Callithrix jacchus: one gene and its partners. The protein of the gene in region 3 purifies or fractionates together with the protein of the main gene of each other region. This does not show direct contact. Links are inferred from orthologs where the notes say so. Each region holds a gene or a part of one and is shown on either strand. Other genes may lie near its edges.

Region 1 (6,118 bases), on a different chromosome or scaffold from region 3:
ATAGATCTTACTATATCCTGTGCTCAGAACTCTTCATTGACTCCTTTTATGAAAAGAACCAAATTCATCAAGGAACTGGCCCTTGCTTATTTCTCCAGAGGATCGTAAGAATTAAAACTGGGAAGGCAATTTAGCACAGACTCTTGAGTAAGACTGTTTTCAAATCCTATCATTACCACTTATAAGCTGTGTAACCATGGCAATTACCTTTCTTTGTCTCCATTTCTTCATCTGTATCATGGTAGAAATGACATTTCATATGATAAGTATGAAATAAGCAAAAATGAATTAATTCATATGAAGTGCCTGACACATAGTAAGGACTCCATGGAAGCTATTTTCACTTATATTCCAGTCAAAATGAATAACTGTAGCTTCCTAAATACTCCATAACATCTCTTACTTCTAGGTCTTAGCAAATGTGTTACCTTCTACCCAGAATGTTCTTTCTTTAACCACCATATACATTCTCATTCCTCTTACCAGTCTAACTTCTACTTCAGGTCTCAGTTCACAGATCACATCCTGAACCTTAAGACTGATTATGGCATCCCTCTCCAGAGTATCCCAGAATATGTCCTGATATATCTTCCTAAGTAACATATTATCACTATGTTATGCTTATTATTGACTGTAAATATCCTTGAGAAGCAGAACATAGTTGCCCACTATATCACTAGCAACTAGCACAGTCTCTGGTATGCTGTAAAGACTCACTAAAACTCAATGACTGGTTAAGGGCAAAGAAGTAATTACCAAAGCAACTATATCCGTATTTCATCTCAAGGAACTTAGCAGCCGAAAAGGAACACAGGCCATATATTTAAGTTTTCTCTGTGTGAAACTATGAGTAAAGATAATAGTCTAAGATATAAATGGACAAGGTAGTTCTGATTAGCTAAGAGTGTGTGGTATGAATGATAAGTCAACTGATACAGGCCTAAAGAGAAGAATAAAAGTCAAGAAAACCACAGGCATTCCCCTAGGCAATTCTACCAGTGAATATCATAAGTTAGATCCTTTATAACTATTAAAAAATCCACATGTCTGTTATGTTTTGCAGAGTTAACTAACCAGACAATGCTCTAAGAACTTGTTCTTAACATTTAAGTGGCATCAATCCATACTTTCTCTACCACGTTGTTTTGATAGCTTTTATATGGTTCTTTAAAATTTTGGAGTAAAATAGATACATGTAAGAAATTTGTAAGGAATAGTTTCCCTTAAAAATCAATTTATGATAGATGCTCTTATTATTATTGTTGTTTGAGACAGAGTCTCATTTCTGTTGCCCAGGCTGGAGTGCAGTGGTGCAATCTCGGCTCACTGCAACCTCTTGCCTCCTGGGTTCGAGCAACTCTTCTGCCTCAACTACCCAACTAGCTGGGATTACAGGCACTCCCCACTAGGTTCGACTAATTTTTTTTGTATTTTTAGTGGAGATGGGGTTTTTGCCATGTTGGCCAGGCTGGTTTTGAACTCTGGGTCTCAAGTGAGATTGATTCTCTTAAATAGCATATCACTGTTTTCTTAAAATGTATGACCCTCTATTTCTGAGAGAATAATGAACAAAATGAAATAAACAGAATATAACATAATAATGACTTAAAGGACACAAAGGTAAAAAATGTTTCTGAGTATAAGAGACAGGACAGTTACCACATGTAGGCACCAAATTTTACTAAGTTTACTAATAGCTGAGGTGAAATAAAAAACAAGTAAGTGTTAAATAGAAATGTTAATAAATAAATAAAACATTAAATAAGAAGCTGAGGTAAAATAGGAAATTTTCTTCAAGAAAATACAAATTTACCTGCAAAAAACTTTTTTTCCAAAACTAAATCCCAGGGAACACTGCAAAAATTATTAGTTTACAACAAGGAATAACATGAGTTAATAAAAACTATGTATTAAACATGTTATTTTAAATATCATTGATAAAATGTTGAGATTAACACTTTTCAAAAACAATATATATATATCTCATATATAAGGATACAACCAAAAACAAGAAATTTAATTAAACATTATTGAATGTATCATCAAAAGATTCATTTCCAAATCTACTAATCATATAAATACATTGAAATAAACAAATATAACTTTTATGCAAAATAAACTATGATACTAAGATCACTTCTTTATGCAAGTCTATTAGTTTCTTGACACTAATCTTCCAGACAAAAGCATCAATTTTAGGTAGTAAGTGTGATATATCCTGAGAAAAATGTACCTCCAAATATAAAGAATTAATCTTCAAGTCATATTCACTAAAAGTACCTGTTCCATTATATTTTAAAATTTGTGATGACAAAATGAACAGTGTTATAAAATCTTATAAGTGTACATCATTCCTCAAATATAACATACAATACAAAAATTGATATTGTTACCAATAATTATAAAAAGCCAGGTAACTTGAACAGTGAAGATTCATGGAAAAAAAAGTGCTTTACTTGCTCATTAACTTTCTTCTCTTTCTCCAACTCCTTTTCCATGTCCTCCAATTCTCTATCTTTTCGTTCTAATTGCTTTTCAAGTTGGCGAATTTCATCACGTAAAAACCGAGTATCCCGACCACCTGCAGACCGCTGAGCCATCTCAAAGTAATAAACCCAAAGTATAAATTATATTATATTTTGAAGTTCAAATGATTCAACAATAAGCAACTTATCTTGACTTTAAATTTTCATTATATTTCAGTGCAGATATTTAAAATCATATTAAGAATCTTTTTTTTTTAATTTAACTTACCTAAGCGTTAGTTCACAGCTAGTAAGTCTTTAAACTTCTCCTGAGCCACCCAGAGCTACAAAGAATTGACTGTTAATCATTCTGTTGTAACCACTGGCCAACAGGTAGCAGACTAAAGGCAAAGGTCCTAAGCCGCAGAGATCTGGAACCCGTGTACGAACCATGAGAAACTCCGTCGCTGTTAGTGAAGTTTAGTGCCTTAACCTGCCCTTTCTCTCATATCATGCACTATTTAGACCAGTGCTGCCCAACAGGACTTTCTAGGATAATAGACATGCTCTCTCTGCTGTTCAGTTCAGTAGCCACTTGTTACATGTAGCTATGTTTGGGTATTTGAAGTGTAGCTACTGTAACTGAAGAACTAAATTTTTCATTTTAATTTTAACAAATAGAAATATAAATAGCTAGTGTTAGTGCCACTTTACTGAACAACTCAGGTTTCATTTATCTTTAAGATTTGTAGCCAACTAAATCCATTTTATTTCATATTCTTGTTAATTTAGGTCATGTCCCAGAACATCAAATCATTTGGTCATCTAACCTGTCTCACATTTATCTCTTCACCTTATAGTTCTGTTTTTCCTCTACCTTAACCAAATTTTTCACACTCTTTCTCTCCTTCAAAAAGCATTCCCTGTGCTAAAGTCTTCTTCCAAGATAAATATTTCACAACCTCAGATTATTTACTGAATCATCCTTTCCATCTCCTTGCCTTAGCTGCAATTTGGATCCTTTAGGATACTAATGCCCTTGGAACTCTTTCAGTTGGAAGGTGCTCATTCTTTCACAGCCCATATACATTAGGGTCAGGAGGAGGTGTTGGTACTTCTAGGTTTACTCTACCCTGCAACTTCACGTGATCATTCCTATCATTCCTCCATCATCCTATGAAAACCTCAGCTGCTTTCTCACAAGATATCCAGCTCTCCATCTTTACCTACTCATGGTAGCAGCAAACCACCAACTTCCCAGTGACTCTGCAAAATGTACTGGGAATTTAAGCATGTGCCTCACAGACGTTCATCAAATCCCCAAGCAATTTCCACATAACTTTTGTTCTAGTCTATTTTTTTTTTCTTGTTTCTTGAATTCACTATCATCTCTCACTGACACACCAACATCAAATCCTTGTCCAATCAGAAACATTCTTTCAATTATTCCCACTATGCCTGTCCTTTGACCTCACAGGACACTAATCCCTCGACTTCTCACTCCTTATCCCTACCCTTCTGCCCACCCAACCCCAATCTTGACTTTCTTATCTATTCAGTTGAGACTTCATAATCACCACTTCAACCACTTTCCTACCAATATCTTCAAAACTGTCTTACTCTTCTATTGTATAGCAGGTGCCTATCTAAACATTAACACAGAATTGATTCAACTCCATAATTCATTTAATGAGTATTTATTGAAAGTACTTGGCATTTTTCCAGGAGCTGGATATACAATCAAAATAACAAGTCATCCAAGTTCAGAGAATTAACAAATAAAAGAATCAGGACTAGAACTCAAATCTGTCTGACTCCAGATCCCCAACTCTCCAGTCTTTTCTCCATTACATTTCAAATTTTATCTGATTTTCTTAAAATGTGACCACACCATCTCCCACTCTTTCTAACAGATGACATCATCACTGACCTCTCAACTTCCAGGCACTATGCCTACAAACATAAAGGCTTCTACATACATCTACTGTTCCTCCCCTCATCTACTCTTCCTTCTCTCCTAACACAAGGAAAAGGGTATTCCTTCTTTCAAAGGCTGATCCGTTTCAAAAGCTGATCCATCCCTACCTTTTCAGGAATCTGAATTTAGTTCCTCAACAATACATTCATACTTTAGCCCTCAGCTTTGTAAAAAATTACTTCTATAAAACCCTTTGGTCATTATTCCCCAACTCCCCACCCACGCTCCACCTCAGTTACTAGTAAGCTTTCTATGTATTTCCCAAGACTGCAAGCTCCATATAGCAGTTAACTGTTTTAATTTCATTCACAACTGTATGCTCAATCCGAGAATATATACTGAAAAAGCAAATAACCATGATTACTATCATCCTTATAACTTTTCCAGCCAATAATAATTTTAAAATTTGAAAACAATGCAAAATAAAATTTATGACAATTACATTCTAGGAAATACAAAAAGACATACCTCCAGTTCATTTTCCAGTTTCATTACTTTAGTTTTTAATTGATTTTCTGTTTTTTAAAAAAAAAGACAAATGTTTTCATACATTAGCTACCACAAAACAAACTTTTAAATAAATTTAAATAACAAAATTAATTCTTTTAAAAGACTCCATCATGACTATAAGGTATCAAAAAGAATTATATGGCAGATCCATAAAATAGGAGTCTAGAATTGCTTATTATTAAGTAAATGTTATATATTAAAAATAAACTATATACATCTTATAGAATAAATTTGATTTTCTACAGCTTAATGAACACATGGAATTTATTATTTAATACCATAAACTTTTTTCCAAGTTGCTTACCAAATTTTGCTTGTTCTTCTCCAGCTTTTTCTACTTCTTCCAAAGCCAGCTCTACTTCTTGAGCTTTCATCTAAACATTAAAAAAAGGTTATTTCAATATGCCTTTGTACTAGAATGTAAGCACTGAAAACAAAAATTGTATTTATTATGATTCTTAGTGTCAGCAATGGGGGGCACATGGCGATTTTCAGTAAATATTTGTTAAATAAATACATAATTTTTCTTTCTTTTTTTTTTTTTTTTTTTTTGAGACAGGGCCTCACTTTGTCACCCAGGCTGGAGTGCAGCGACACAATCTCAGCTCACTGCAACCTCTGCCTCCTAGGCTCAAGCAAACTTCCCACTTCAGTCTCCTGAGTAGCTGGGACTACAGGTGCATACCACCATGATCAGCAAGACTTTAAATTTTTTCGTAGAGACAAAGTCTCACTGTATTATTCGCCGTATTATGCAGGCCAGTCTCAAACTCCTAGGCTCAAGCAATTCTCCTGCCTTAGCAACCCAAAGTGCTGGGATTACGGACGTGAGGCAGTAATCCAGGCAACTTTCTTACTTTCTTACTTAAGATTATAATTTCTATTTTTAATAGCATGAAATATTTTTGATTCTCCCTTTTACCTCAAGTCTTAAGTCTTACATCCAGTAATACAACATCTCCCTTTGTAATTTTTTTCACTACTTTTTTTCTGTTCCAATTGTTATTATTCTAACACATAATTTCATGTTTAAACTCCTCTATAATGTGATGTCTATATAGCTCCAGTAATCCTTCTATTTGTCATATATTATATATTGTTTTGCCTTCCTAAGGCATATTTTTGTACCTATCAACTGTGGTTCAGAAACCTTTATTGCCTTCTC
Region 2 (5,860 bases), on a different chromosome or scaffold from region 3:
GTGTGAGCCACTGCACCCAGCCTAATTTTTGTATTTTTAGTAGAGACAGGGTTTTACCATATTGCCCAAGCTGGTCATGAACTCCTGATCTCAAGTGATCTACCAGCCTCAGCTTCCCAGAGTGCTGGGATTACAGGCATAAGCCACTGCGCTGGGCCTTAAAAACTTTTTTCAGTGGCCTCACACAATCAATCTCTCATTTAGATTAGTCACATGTATGCTGATGTTTTCATCACAATGAAAAGAAGGAAAAAAGAGGTTTCAGAAAATAGAATCCATGAAGAGGCTAGTAATCAATCCTCTGACCACAGAAAATCAGTGATACACTGCTAAGATCACAATATCATAACAAAGAGGTATAATAAATTTTTTCTAAAATACCCAATTCATTTTTACAACAAATCACACTGATAAATGTTTCTAAATGATTCATGTATTTTCATGTGAGCTTATTAATATTTATGCTTTTCTGATATTAATTTTGTCCTACTCTTATTTCAAGGTCTGACCATAAATTTCTGGGCTGTCTCAAATATCACAAGGGCCAGGAATAAACCACAAATGTGGCAATTCATCAACATTTATTTTCACAAATGCAATAACTAAATCTGTCATGAGGTTAATTTCTCCTAATTTGTATAAAATAATCCCATTAATCTATGAAAAATCATGATCATATCGATTTTTCTAGGGCTTAAACCCTTAGACATCTCTTCGATTACTTTTTAGTGTAAAGAAAACTAAGTGCATTTTATATTAATATTTAAACTACTGATACCTGTAAACAAAGTAGCATTTATTAAAATATACACTTAATTTATACTAAATTCCAGGGTGATTTATAGAAATTTTTCACCCTTAATTTTTAAAGGAACACAACATGATTTTTCTAAACATTACCAGTCAAGTATATACAAAATTGAAATACGTCATTCAAGCCAGATTGTGATTTTAAAATAACAAACCTCTAAATAGCTAAATAATGTACAATGTGTAAAATTCCAATTAAACACAGGTATAATTCTTATAGAAATGTTGGCCCTATAATACCGAGCGATATTTACAAGCAAACATGATCCAAACAGCACATGCAGATTCAGGGTAAGTAAACACTCGGACACGAACTGCCAGTCGCACTTGGTCTCCACGGCAACAGATTATTTCTTCACAGAAAGGAGATCTATTTAAGAAAAAATATATATTCAATTAAGAAGTGACCATGCACCTCACTTTTTTATTTCCAAGTAAATCAATATTTAAAATAATTTTTTCAGGCTAGGGAAGGTGGTTCATGCCTGTAATCCCAGAATTTTGGAAGGCTGAGGCAGGTGGATCATCTGAGGTCAGGAGTTCAAGACAAGCTTGGCCAACATGGTGAAACCCGTCTCTACTAAAAATTACAAAAATTAGCCAGGTGTGGTGGCAGGCACCTGTAATCCCAGCTACTTGGGAGGCTGAGACAGAAGAATCTCTTGAACCCGGGAGGCGGAGGTTGTGATGAGCCAAGATTGTGCCACTGTACTCCAGCCTAGGCAACAGACTGAGACTCCATCTCAAAAATGAATAATAAATAAAATAATTTTTTCAAATTCTGTCAATGCTATCAAAGACACTGTAATTTTGGTCAAGCTATTCAAATCATAGACTATTTCCATATTGTCCAAACAAAATCAGAGATACCTGACTGAGACTGTACCAAAATCACTGAGAAAATAATCCCAGACTATCTAGGGCTACATTTCAGACCTAATGAATCAAAATCTGTGGCAAGGAGGGTAAGTCATTGTAAAAGATCCCATGTGACTCTGATGTCATTCCTAAATAACTACCAGATTAGGCCAGGTACAATGGCTCATACCTGTAATCCCAGCACTTTAGGAGGACAAAGTGGGAAGACTGCTTGAGCCCAGGAATTTCAATACCAGCCTGGGCAACACAGGAAGACCCCCATCTCTACAAAATAAAGAAAAAAAATAGCCAAGTATGATGGTGCATGCCTGTGGCCCCAGTTGCTTGGGAGGGTGAGGTGGAAGGCCTTTCACGGGCCCGGGAAGTCAAGGCTGCAGTGAACCATAAATGTGCCACTGTACTCCAGTGTGGACAGCACAGTGAGACCTTGACTTTGAAAAAAAAAAAGGAAATAAAAAACCCCTATCAGACTGATCTCTAAGATTCCTAAACTGAAAACCTGATTCCACAAATTACATCTTACCGAAGACATGTGGCAAATGCACGTCTTGCATTTCTATACACAAAATGTATTGGGAACCCTTTAAATGTATGACCATCAGGTACAGCCCTTCTTATGGCATCTTGAAATTCTTCATTGCCTGCTGATATACTTGTTGTACGCTCAAATTCATAAGAAGCCAAAGCTGGTGAAAGAAGATAGGACAGCTGGTCTTCCCAAACAGTAGTGAGACCAAGGTCCTATAAGCAATCAAGAGAAAAAGAAAAAATGAAATACATTAATATTTTTAAAACCAGCTAAATAAAAATGTTGATTATTTTAATGTATACCAAGAAAAGATTTTTAAAAGCTATCATAATATTTTCATAATTACAAAGATGCATAGAAATAAAAGTCAGATAAAAGAAACTATAGGTGATCAGATTTTACTTCTCAGAAAAACCAAACATTCGAAACAGTGATGTTTCATGAAGGCTCCAAATCCTGTACTTCTTTAATATCTACTAGAAAATACTGTATGAAACAGTCCTAATATGGAGTGTTAGTGAATTTTGAGATATTTTACTTAAAGAGTTTATTAAGATTGAATCTGTTTACTAAAGACTGACTGTTCCTACCATAAACTCAACTGCAGAGGGGAGCAAAGTCAGCAAATGAATCCTATATGTAATTAAACAAATATTTACTGAACATGTACTCTATAAAACTTAGTGTAAGAGATAAAAAGATGAAGACATGTTATAGGCCCCTAGGGGGCTTAAAACATATTTCTATAGAATGTTAAAAACAACATGATTCCATTTTTTTTTTTTTTAATTTTTTGAGACAGAGTCTTACTCTGTTGCCCAGGCTGGAGTGCAGTGGTGCGATCTTGGCTCACTGCAACTTCTGCCTCCCAGGTTCAAGCGATTCTCCTGCCTCACCCTCAGGAGTTGCTAGGATTACAGGTACCCGCCAGCAAGCCCAACCAATTTTTGTATTTTTAGTAAAGACAGGGTTTCACCGTGTTGGCCAGGCTGATGTCAAACTTCTGACCTCAAGTGTTCCACCCACCTTGGCCTCCCAAAGTGCTAGGATTTACAGGTGTGAGCCACTGAGCCCAGCCCATGATTCCATTTATAACACCAAATGACCTATTGCTATCTAGACACAAGAAGTTAAAAATAATATTGTTACAAATATAAAAAATTCTCCAAATTCTAGATATTTTGATTATCATAATAGATGTTTGGCATTTCCTTATTTTACATTCAAGGTAACTTGTCACAAATGATCTCAAAGGTCCATGATTAACAATGCTTTTCCCGTGGCAAAATGTGAACCTTTGCTGATTTATAGGCACCCTTAAGTAGTGATCAACACTGGCATCTATCACAGCTTTATTTTCTTTTTCTATAAACAGTAATTCCTTTTTTTTTTGAGACAGGGTCTTACCCTGTCACCCAGACTAGAGTGCAGTGGTATCATCTCAGCTTACTACAACTTCTGCCTCCCCAGTTAAACTGATCCTTTCACCTTAGCATCCAAGTAGCTGGGACTATAGGCATGTGACACGATGCCCGGCTAAATTTTTGTATTTTTTTGTAGAGATGGATTCTCACCCAGGCTGGTCTTGAACTCCTGAGCTCAAGTGATCCAACCATCTCAGGCTCCCAAACTGCTGGGATTACAGGTGTGAGATACTGTGCCTGGCCAAAAGTAATTATTATAAAATAAAATATTGCTTTTATTTATAAGCAGAACCTAAGAAAAGAAAGCTAAAGGTAATACAAGTGATGGAAGGAAAGAGAAAGTAATAAGGGGCTTTCATCTCCAGCAATATAATGGACCAGAGGTCTCCTGATCAACTCTTGCTTAAAAACACACTACAAACTCCAGATTTTCCAAAATATACATTTAAATGCTTTGATGAGTTGACAAGCAAATAAGGAATATGTACACACACACACACACATTTTTTTAAGACGAAGTTTTGCTCTTCTTGGCCAGGCTGGAGTACAATGGCATGATCTTGGCTCACCGCACCTCCAATTCCTGGGGTCAAGCAATTCTCCTGCCTCAGCCTGCCGAGTAGCTGAAATTACAGGCATGTGCCACCATGCCCAGCTAATTTTATATTTTTTAGTAGAGACAGGGTTTCTCCATGTTGGTCAGGCTGGTCTCAAACTCCCAACCTCAGGTGAATTGCCCACCTCAGCCTCCCAAAGTGCTGGGATTACAGGCATTAGCCACCGTGCCTAGCCTGAATAAGGAATATATTAGAGGCCAAAGCTAAGAGTAACTGGGAACCCAGAGAACATGTTTGATAAATCAGTTTGCCTTTGACAGCCTCAAAGAACACAGAAAACACCCACGGTAGAGAGTGGAATAAGGAACCCCAAAAGGTGAATCAGAAATAAACCTTTTGTAGGAATTTTGGATTCTAGTCTTTTCATGGTAATATGTATTACAAATAACTTTTCCCACTCCACAGCTTCAATCTCTTAATGTTTTCTTTTGATGAACTTGTCTGTAAAATATATTAATCTTTTCCTTATGACTAATACTTTTTATGTGTTCCTTAAGGTACTTTACAAAGGAAATCTACATGCTATTAGACAAGAGGCTTGATCTGGCTGGATGCAGTGGCTCAAGACTGTAATCCCAGCACTTTGGGAGGCTGAGGAGGGTGGATCACTTGAGGTCAGGAGTTCAAGACCAGCCTGACCAATATGGTGAAACCCCATCTCTACAAAAATACAAAAATTGGCCGGGCATGGTGGCACGTCTATAATCCCAGTTACTCAGAAGGGTGAGGCAGAAGAATTGCTTGAACCTTCATTTCTAGAAGGAAGTAATACATTCTATAAGCATTAATGAATTTGGAGATTTCTGAGTCTTAGAACTTGAACTCTCATGACTTTCAAAATTACAATGTTAATAGTAGGGACTGTAGTTGCTTTGTTTGGGGCTAGAATACCGACTGGCACTATCACGCACACCAAAAAAATAGTTAAATACATAAAGAAATGAAAAAAGTATGAAACTACAACTATTTCAGTGTGAATTACCTTCCTGTGTTCTGATACTAGGAGCCTCAGTTGCATTTCAATTTCATTACTGGTTACTGACGCATCAATTGTGGATGCACACAGAGGTGGAAAGGGAGGAAGGGACGTTGTAGCTCCAGGAGCACACACGGATTTAATTGCTTCCTCACTCATGGGTTTCCATTTGGATTCATCATTCAAATCAAATACACAGGTTTCTACTGCATCAGAGGGTTGACAATTTCCCAGGAACATTTGATGGTTGAAAACACAACCAATTGTTCGATATGGGTACAATGGTTTGGGCTGTTCAGCAACTGGAGGTTCATCAGGACTGGCAGGTTTATGGATGTACCTAAAAAAAATTAAATGATTTTATATATGAGAACTTAAAAATTAAGAAGGCAGCATTTTACTGAGGAAATTATTCTAACACTTAAGGCCATAACTACTTCTCAGAATTAGAGTTTAATACTCGTTTTTCCTTTTCCTATTTCCACAATTTGATTACCCTGTATTAATTAATTGTATGGTACATCTCATAATAATGAAACCAACTCTACTCCTTTAACAACAGAATATATCCTATGTATATTGTTAAGATGAAAGGCCAGGTGCGGTGGGGCTCATGCCTGTAATC
Region 3 (6,118 bases):
CCACTCCTTTTATTTCATGCTACACAATAAAGTAAAACCTGTATGGCATCACCTTTACCCACTCATTCAACAGATCCCATCCTGATCTGAAATGATAGAGCCACTACTATACATTCAGACAAGATTCTCCTGACTCTACTTAACTTTCAGATGGTTTCAACTGTATCCTACCATCATTTATTCTTTTGACACTTGTCCTCCAGGATCTCTAGTATTGTAGCTTGTAGTTTTGCCTTGTTTTGATTTTCAAAGTCAATGTTTCTTTGATGGTATAAAGCTTTCTCAGCTTGAGGTTTCAAAAAGGACTGTACATTAGAATTCCAGATATTTTAGTTACTAACTAAAAATTTTAAGAGAAAACATTATGACAATGCAATCTTACTAAATAGAATGTGGTAAGACATGTTGAAATGTAGAACTACCAAGTATGAACTGGGTGCTGTGACTCACAGCTGTAATCCCAGCACTTTGGGAGGCCGAGATGGGCGAATCATGAGGTGATTGAGACCATCCTGGCCAACATGGTGAAACCCCGTCTCTACTAAAAATACAAAAATTTGGGAGTGGTGGTGCGTGCCTGTGGTCCCAGCTACTTGGGAGGCTGAGGCAGGAGAATCGCTTGAACCCATGAGATGGAGGTTGCAGTGAGCCAAGATTGTGCCACTGCACTCCAGCCTGGTGACAGAGTGAGACTTCGTCTCAAAAAAAAAAAAGAAAAGAAATACCAAGTATGTATATATAGCAAGTATATATTCATGGATCCATTATAATTCAGCTAAATTCAACAAATCATTCTTCCCAAATATACAGTCAATGATTTTCCCTAAAGTATCTTATGTACTACTGTCCTACTGCTACAGTCTTCCCATAATTTGTTCCTAAAAACATCTTATTCAACTACAACAATATGATTTTTTAATTTTTTTTTTTTTTTTTTTAAGATCTAGTCTTGCTCTGTTGCCCAGGCTAGAGTGCAGTAGTGCCAACACGGCTCACTGCAGACTCAAACTCTAGGGCTCATATGATCCTCCCACCTCAGCCTCCAGAGTAGCTGGGACTACAGGCACATGCCAGCACACCAGGCTAATTTTTGTATATTTTGCAGAGATGGGGTCTTGCCATACTGCCCAGGCTGCTTTTGAACTCTTGGCCTCAAGTGATCCTCCTGCCATGGCCTCACAAAGTGCTAGGATTGTAGGTATAAGCCACCATGCCCAGCCTGCATTTGTTTATATGTAGCTTTTCATAGGCAAGGGAAGCTGAAAAGTAGAATTAAAACCTTCAGCAAGAAAGGAAAAAGCCCCTCAACTCAAGTGCTCAGTCAACAGGAGTCCATTCAGCTCTATCTCAAAAACTCTACAAAAAGGCCCACTAGGCTGAGGGCAGCTCTCAGCACATGGCACTGTCTCCCTTGCCCACTTTGACAGCTACCTGACTGCCTCCAAGACTGGAGGCTCATCTTGCATTAAAGCACTTACTAGAAATTGCCACTCCAGGCTTGGAATGATGGCTCATGCCTGTAATCTCAACACTTTGGGAGGCTGAGGCAGGTGGATCACTTGAGGTCAGGAGTTCAAGACCAGCCTGACTAACATGGTGAAACCCCATCTCTACTAAAAATACAAATATTAGCTGGGCTTAGTGGTGCATGTCTGTAATCCCGGCTATTTGGGAGGCTGAGGCAGGAGAGTTGCTTGAACCTGGGAGGTGGAGGCTGTAGTGAGCCAAGATTGCGCCATTGCACTTTAGCCTGGGCAACAAGAGCGAAACTCCATCTCCAAAAAAAAAAAAAAATGAAAGAAATTTCCACTCCGTTAGTCTTATGTATTTCTGATATTCACTGAGGCAGCCTCTAACCTTGCTATGCTATCTACTTAGAATATTCAAGTTGGCTCCCCAGGTAACTGTGGTTGTTTTTATTAGAGCTCTGATAAAGTTGCACAGGATAGGCCAGGACTGATGGCTCAAAGCTGTAATCCCAGCACTTTGGGAGGCCAAGGAGGGCTGATCACTTGAGCTTAGGAGTTCAAGACTAGCCTGGCCAACATGGTGAAACCCTGTCTCCACAAAAAATACAAAAATTAGCTGGGTGTGGTGGTGCATGCCTGTAAATCCCAACTACTTGGAAGATTGAGGTGGGAGAATCTCTTAAACCCAGGCCTGCAGTGAGCCGAGATCACATGAAAGCAATCCAGCCCGGGCGACACAGCAAAGACCCTATCTCAAAAAAATTTTTTTTTAATTAAAAAAAATAAAGTTGCACAGGTTTTAAGCAGTCTGACCCAACACTGTATTTCCCATAAGCCCTAAGAGCTTCATTTATTTGATTTATGTCTTCTATATCAGTAATAAATTATGAACCATGACAACAAAGTAAGGAGTAATGAAGGAAAGAAACATGCTTTCATAAATTCTTGTTAATGGATACAACAGAAAAAACTGAAATAATGTTTATTAATAAAGACGCATTCTTTTTTTTTTTTTTTTTTGAGACGGAGTCTGGCTCTGCCTAGGCTGGAGTGCAATGGTGCAATTGCAGCTCACTGCAGCCTCCACCTCCCGAGTTCATGCAATTCTCCTGCCTCAGTCTCCCAAGTAGCTGGGATTACAGACATGCACCATTAAGCCCAGCTAATTTTTGTATTTTTAGTAGAGATGGGGTTTCACCATGTTCGTCAGGCTGAACTCCTGACCTCAAGTGATCCACCTGCCTCAGCCTCCCAAAGTGTCGGGATTACAGGCGTAAGCCACCGTGCCCAGCCTAAAGAACCATTCTTGAACCACTACTCAGAGCCTTATTTCTGATACTTCGTCTAATAATTTGACATTAAAGAGTCTACTGAAGGGCCAACTACATGAAGATCACACTACAAATGAAAAAGCAAACTGAAGTAAACATTAGAAACCATAGTCCAAAAGAAAGACCTCATAGTTATACACTGAATTAAACTATAAGTGTGTTTCAGGCAAGAACTGTTTTGGGCTGGGTGCAGTGGTGCGCACCTGTAATCCCAGCTACTCAGGAGGCTGAGGCACAAAAATCACTTGAACCCAGAAGCAGGGATTGCAGTGAGCTAAGATCCCAATAAGGACTAAGAGCCTGGCAACAGAGCAAGACTCTATCTCAAAAAAAAAAAAGGAACTCTTTCCTCCAGTTATGAATAATATTCTCAGTAATACCAAGTGGACTATGAAAGCTTCATCATTTAAATAAAATCCAACGAGGCACGCCTGTAATCCCAGCTACTCAGGAGGCTGAGGCATGAGAATTGCTTGAACCAGGAGGCAGAGATAGCAGTTAGCCAAGCTTGCGCCACTGCACTCCAGCCTGGGCAACTGTGCCAGACTGTCTCAAAAAAGAAAATCCTGGCCCAGTGCAGTGGCTCATGTCTGTAATCCCAGAGCTTTGGGAGGCCAAGACGGGATGCTCACTTGAGCTCACGAGTTTCAGACCAGCCTGGGCAACATGGCGGAAACACCATCGCTGACTAATATGAAAATTAGTCAGGCATGGTGGCATGAGCCTGTAGTCCCAGCTACTTCAGAGGATGAGGTGGGAGGATGGCTTGAGCCCAGGAGGCGGAGGTTGAAGTGAGCTGAGATCATGCCACTTCACTCCAACCTGGGGTGACAGAGCCAGACCTTGTCTCAAGAAAATCTTTTAAGAAAGTCTATCAAATGGCAATAAACTGTAGCTGACTATATGCTTTCTAATAAGATAAATAAAATTAAGTGCCCATATAAATAAAGACCATTTTTTTCCCCAAAAATGTCAGTTAAGAGTATTAAAATAAAGGTATCATTTGCAGTATAAAACACTTCAAGGATTCCTTACCTTTGGAACTGGTTTCTAACATTTTATTCTTGTTAATGAAGACAGGTCCCTTGGTGTATCTTTTTTCTAGCAAATGTTGCCTTTCTTGTTCAGTTATTCCACTTGTTATGACATAAGGGCAGTTTTCTTTTTGCAAATCATCAATATCTAAATCAAGTCTCCGTTTAACTTTCTCAAAACTGTTATCCAAAAATGGTTCATTTCCATGGGACACCGTAGGTGTGTCCATCTGCTGTCTCGTATTCTGGTTTTGCATCAGTAAAGGAGAAGGATTTTTTACATCATAAGACTTATTCAGTTCCATTTGTAAACTGCAGTTTTTCTCTGATATACTGGCTGGCTTGAGTCCACTCACAGTTCCAGAGTTTTGACTTGCTATGCACTGACTGCTGGCATATGGTTCATGCAGCTTTGGCATCGCAGCACAGGTACTGTTCATTTTGTGTGCACCTCTCTCATCAGATGTTAACTGACCTTCCACAGTAACAAGTCCATGAGTAACTTTATTTTCTAAATAATTTCCTGAAGATTGACATACCTGATTTGTTTTACCTAAAACCATATCTTCTATGACTTCAGATGTATTTTTGCCTACATAAGCCATGCTTGAACAAACGCTTGCGAAATCAATTGGTAACTTTGGCACAATTTTGGGCACATTTGTTTTTTCATCAGTATCATGAACAATTAAGTCCATTGCCTGTTCTTTTCCTTTAGGGCTTAATTCACAGGCATTTATCGGGTTATTTATAAGTATATGACATGCTGATGATGTCCTGGAATTCCTTCGATGCATTTTAGGACTCATACTTGGCTCTGGACTAGGTAATTTGGCATAGGAACCTGTAAGACTTTTGATAACATTATTTTCAGTAACAAAAGTGGGAATAACTTTAAAATCCGAATTAGATTCTAGAACAGTGGAATGACCAGTTCGTACAGGTATGTCCACTTTCGAAAAGCTAGCTAAAACTGGCGTACTCATGCTGCTTGCGTGAGCAGAAGCACCTTGGAGAAGAACATTTGATTTATTAAGGCTTGGTTTGTCGGGAATAACTGAGACACAGTGTTTGCCTGTCAACGGGGCCTTCTCTTTAACAAAGTCAGCCACTTCAACAGCATCATTTTCTTTCTCTGAATGACTCTCATTAACAATTCTCATTGTACTACCTCTCAGATTGCGTCTAGATTGTTCTCTTTCTATATATTCCTTTGACTTTTTCATCAGATTCTGAAGACTCATTACATAGGGATCTGGGGTGACTTCTGCCAAAAGTAGTGGATCCTGTGATTCATTTATTGAGAAGAGACCATCAGAAATAAGAGTCTCTTGTGGGGTTGCTGAAGAGGTCTTTGGAAAAGCTTCACTTTCTACATGACTAATATTGGAATTATCACATTGCTTCAGAGAATTAAATCCTTCTGAATCTCTAGCTAAGCCTATTCCATTAGTTTTACATTGGTCCTCATTATCCAATGGCAAAATCCCGGCTATGTTATCAAGGTTTACTGAAGTAGAATGTTCAGTATGGCTTGGAAAGCTATTTGGAAATGTAGCAGGAACATTCAAGTTTCTGACTTCTGAATTAGAGTAAACCGTTTCCATCTCCCACTGATCAAAATCACTGGCATTAGGTGCTTTTCTAACCTGAAAGAGGAAATTTAAAAGTTAGTATTTCCTTATCACACAAAAAAGTCTCTGATTTCACTGTTTTCTAAAATAAAATAAATTGAAGATTTGGAGTTCTGACATTTCAAAACATAAACAAACACTAAGATGACAGGTTTCCATGGTATCCTATGTCACATGGGGCTCAAATTATTATTGAAAAAACACTACTGGTCATCCAGCCTAAGTCATTAAAGAAAAAAAAGAAAATTAATCTGATACAAATATGAACATATATATATGTATATATATACACACACACACACACACACACACACAGAGAGATATTCATATATCTCTGTGCAATTTAATCTTGGATAGAAGCACTTTCCTTAACTTTCTTCCAGTCATATGTTATTAACATTAAAATAGCTATCATCCAAGGATGATAATATATGCAATAAACAGGAAGTAATGAAATGTCTTACATAAACAACTCCCCTCTAGCAAAAACTTCTCCAGGACATTGATTAAACAAAAATGATTCAGTAATAAGACTCCTGCACCCACATGCTTACTCCAAAGTTTAACTAAAATCCTCCATAAAATGAGGCAAATTTGTAGTAAACAATAGCTCTGCCAGGCAGCTTAAATCATTTAGAAATAAGAAATAT

What was found. Proteins that work in one complex are often made in the same cells at the same time.
Region 1: the proteins of CCP110 (region 3) and CEP290 purify together in Homo sapiens (co-immunoprecipitation; 6 studies listed by BioGRID and IntAct, with this or other methods). This does not show direct contact. The link is inferred for Callithrix jacchus from reciprocal best matches to the Homo sapiens genes CCP110 and CEP290.
Region 2: the proteins of CCP110 (region 3) and CEP76 purify together in Homo sapiens (co-immunoprecipitation; 4 studies listed by BioGRID and IntAct, with this or other methods). This does not show direct contact. The link is inferred for Callithrix jacchus from reciprocal best matches to the Homo sapiens genes CCP110 and CEP76.

What each region holds. Positions count from the first base shown.
Region 1 is NC_133510.1:93,052,239-93,058,356, reverse strand, and holds part of CEP290 (centrosomal protein of 290 kDa), read right to left. Parts: intron 5,328-6,118; coding exon 5,258-5,327; intron 4,959-5,257; coding exon 4,912-4,958; intron 2,601-4,911; coding exon 2,457-2,600; intron 1-2,456. UniProt on the Homo sapiens protein: Involved in early and late steps in cilia formation. Its association with CCP110 is required for inhibition of primary cilia formation by CCP110.
Region 2 is NC_133514.1:49,821,379-49,827,238, reverse strand, and holds part of CEP76 (centrosomal protein of 76 kDa), read right to left. Parts: intron 5,576-5,860; coding exon 5,242-5,575; intron 2,431-5,241; coding exon 2,213-2,430; intron 1,181-2,212; coding exon 1,042-1,180; 3' UTR 1-1,041. UniProt on the Homo sapiens protein: Centrosomal protein involved in regulation of centriole duplication. Required to limit centriole duplication to once per cell cycle by preventing centriole reduplication.
Region 3 is NC_133513.1:20,946,039-20,952,156, reverse strand, and holds part of CCP110 (centriolar coiled-coil protein of 110 kDa), read right to left. Parts: intron 5,484-6,118; coding exon 3,836-5,483; intron 1-3,835.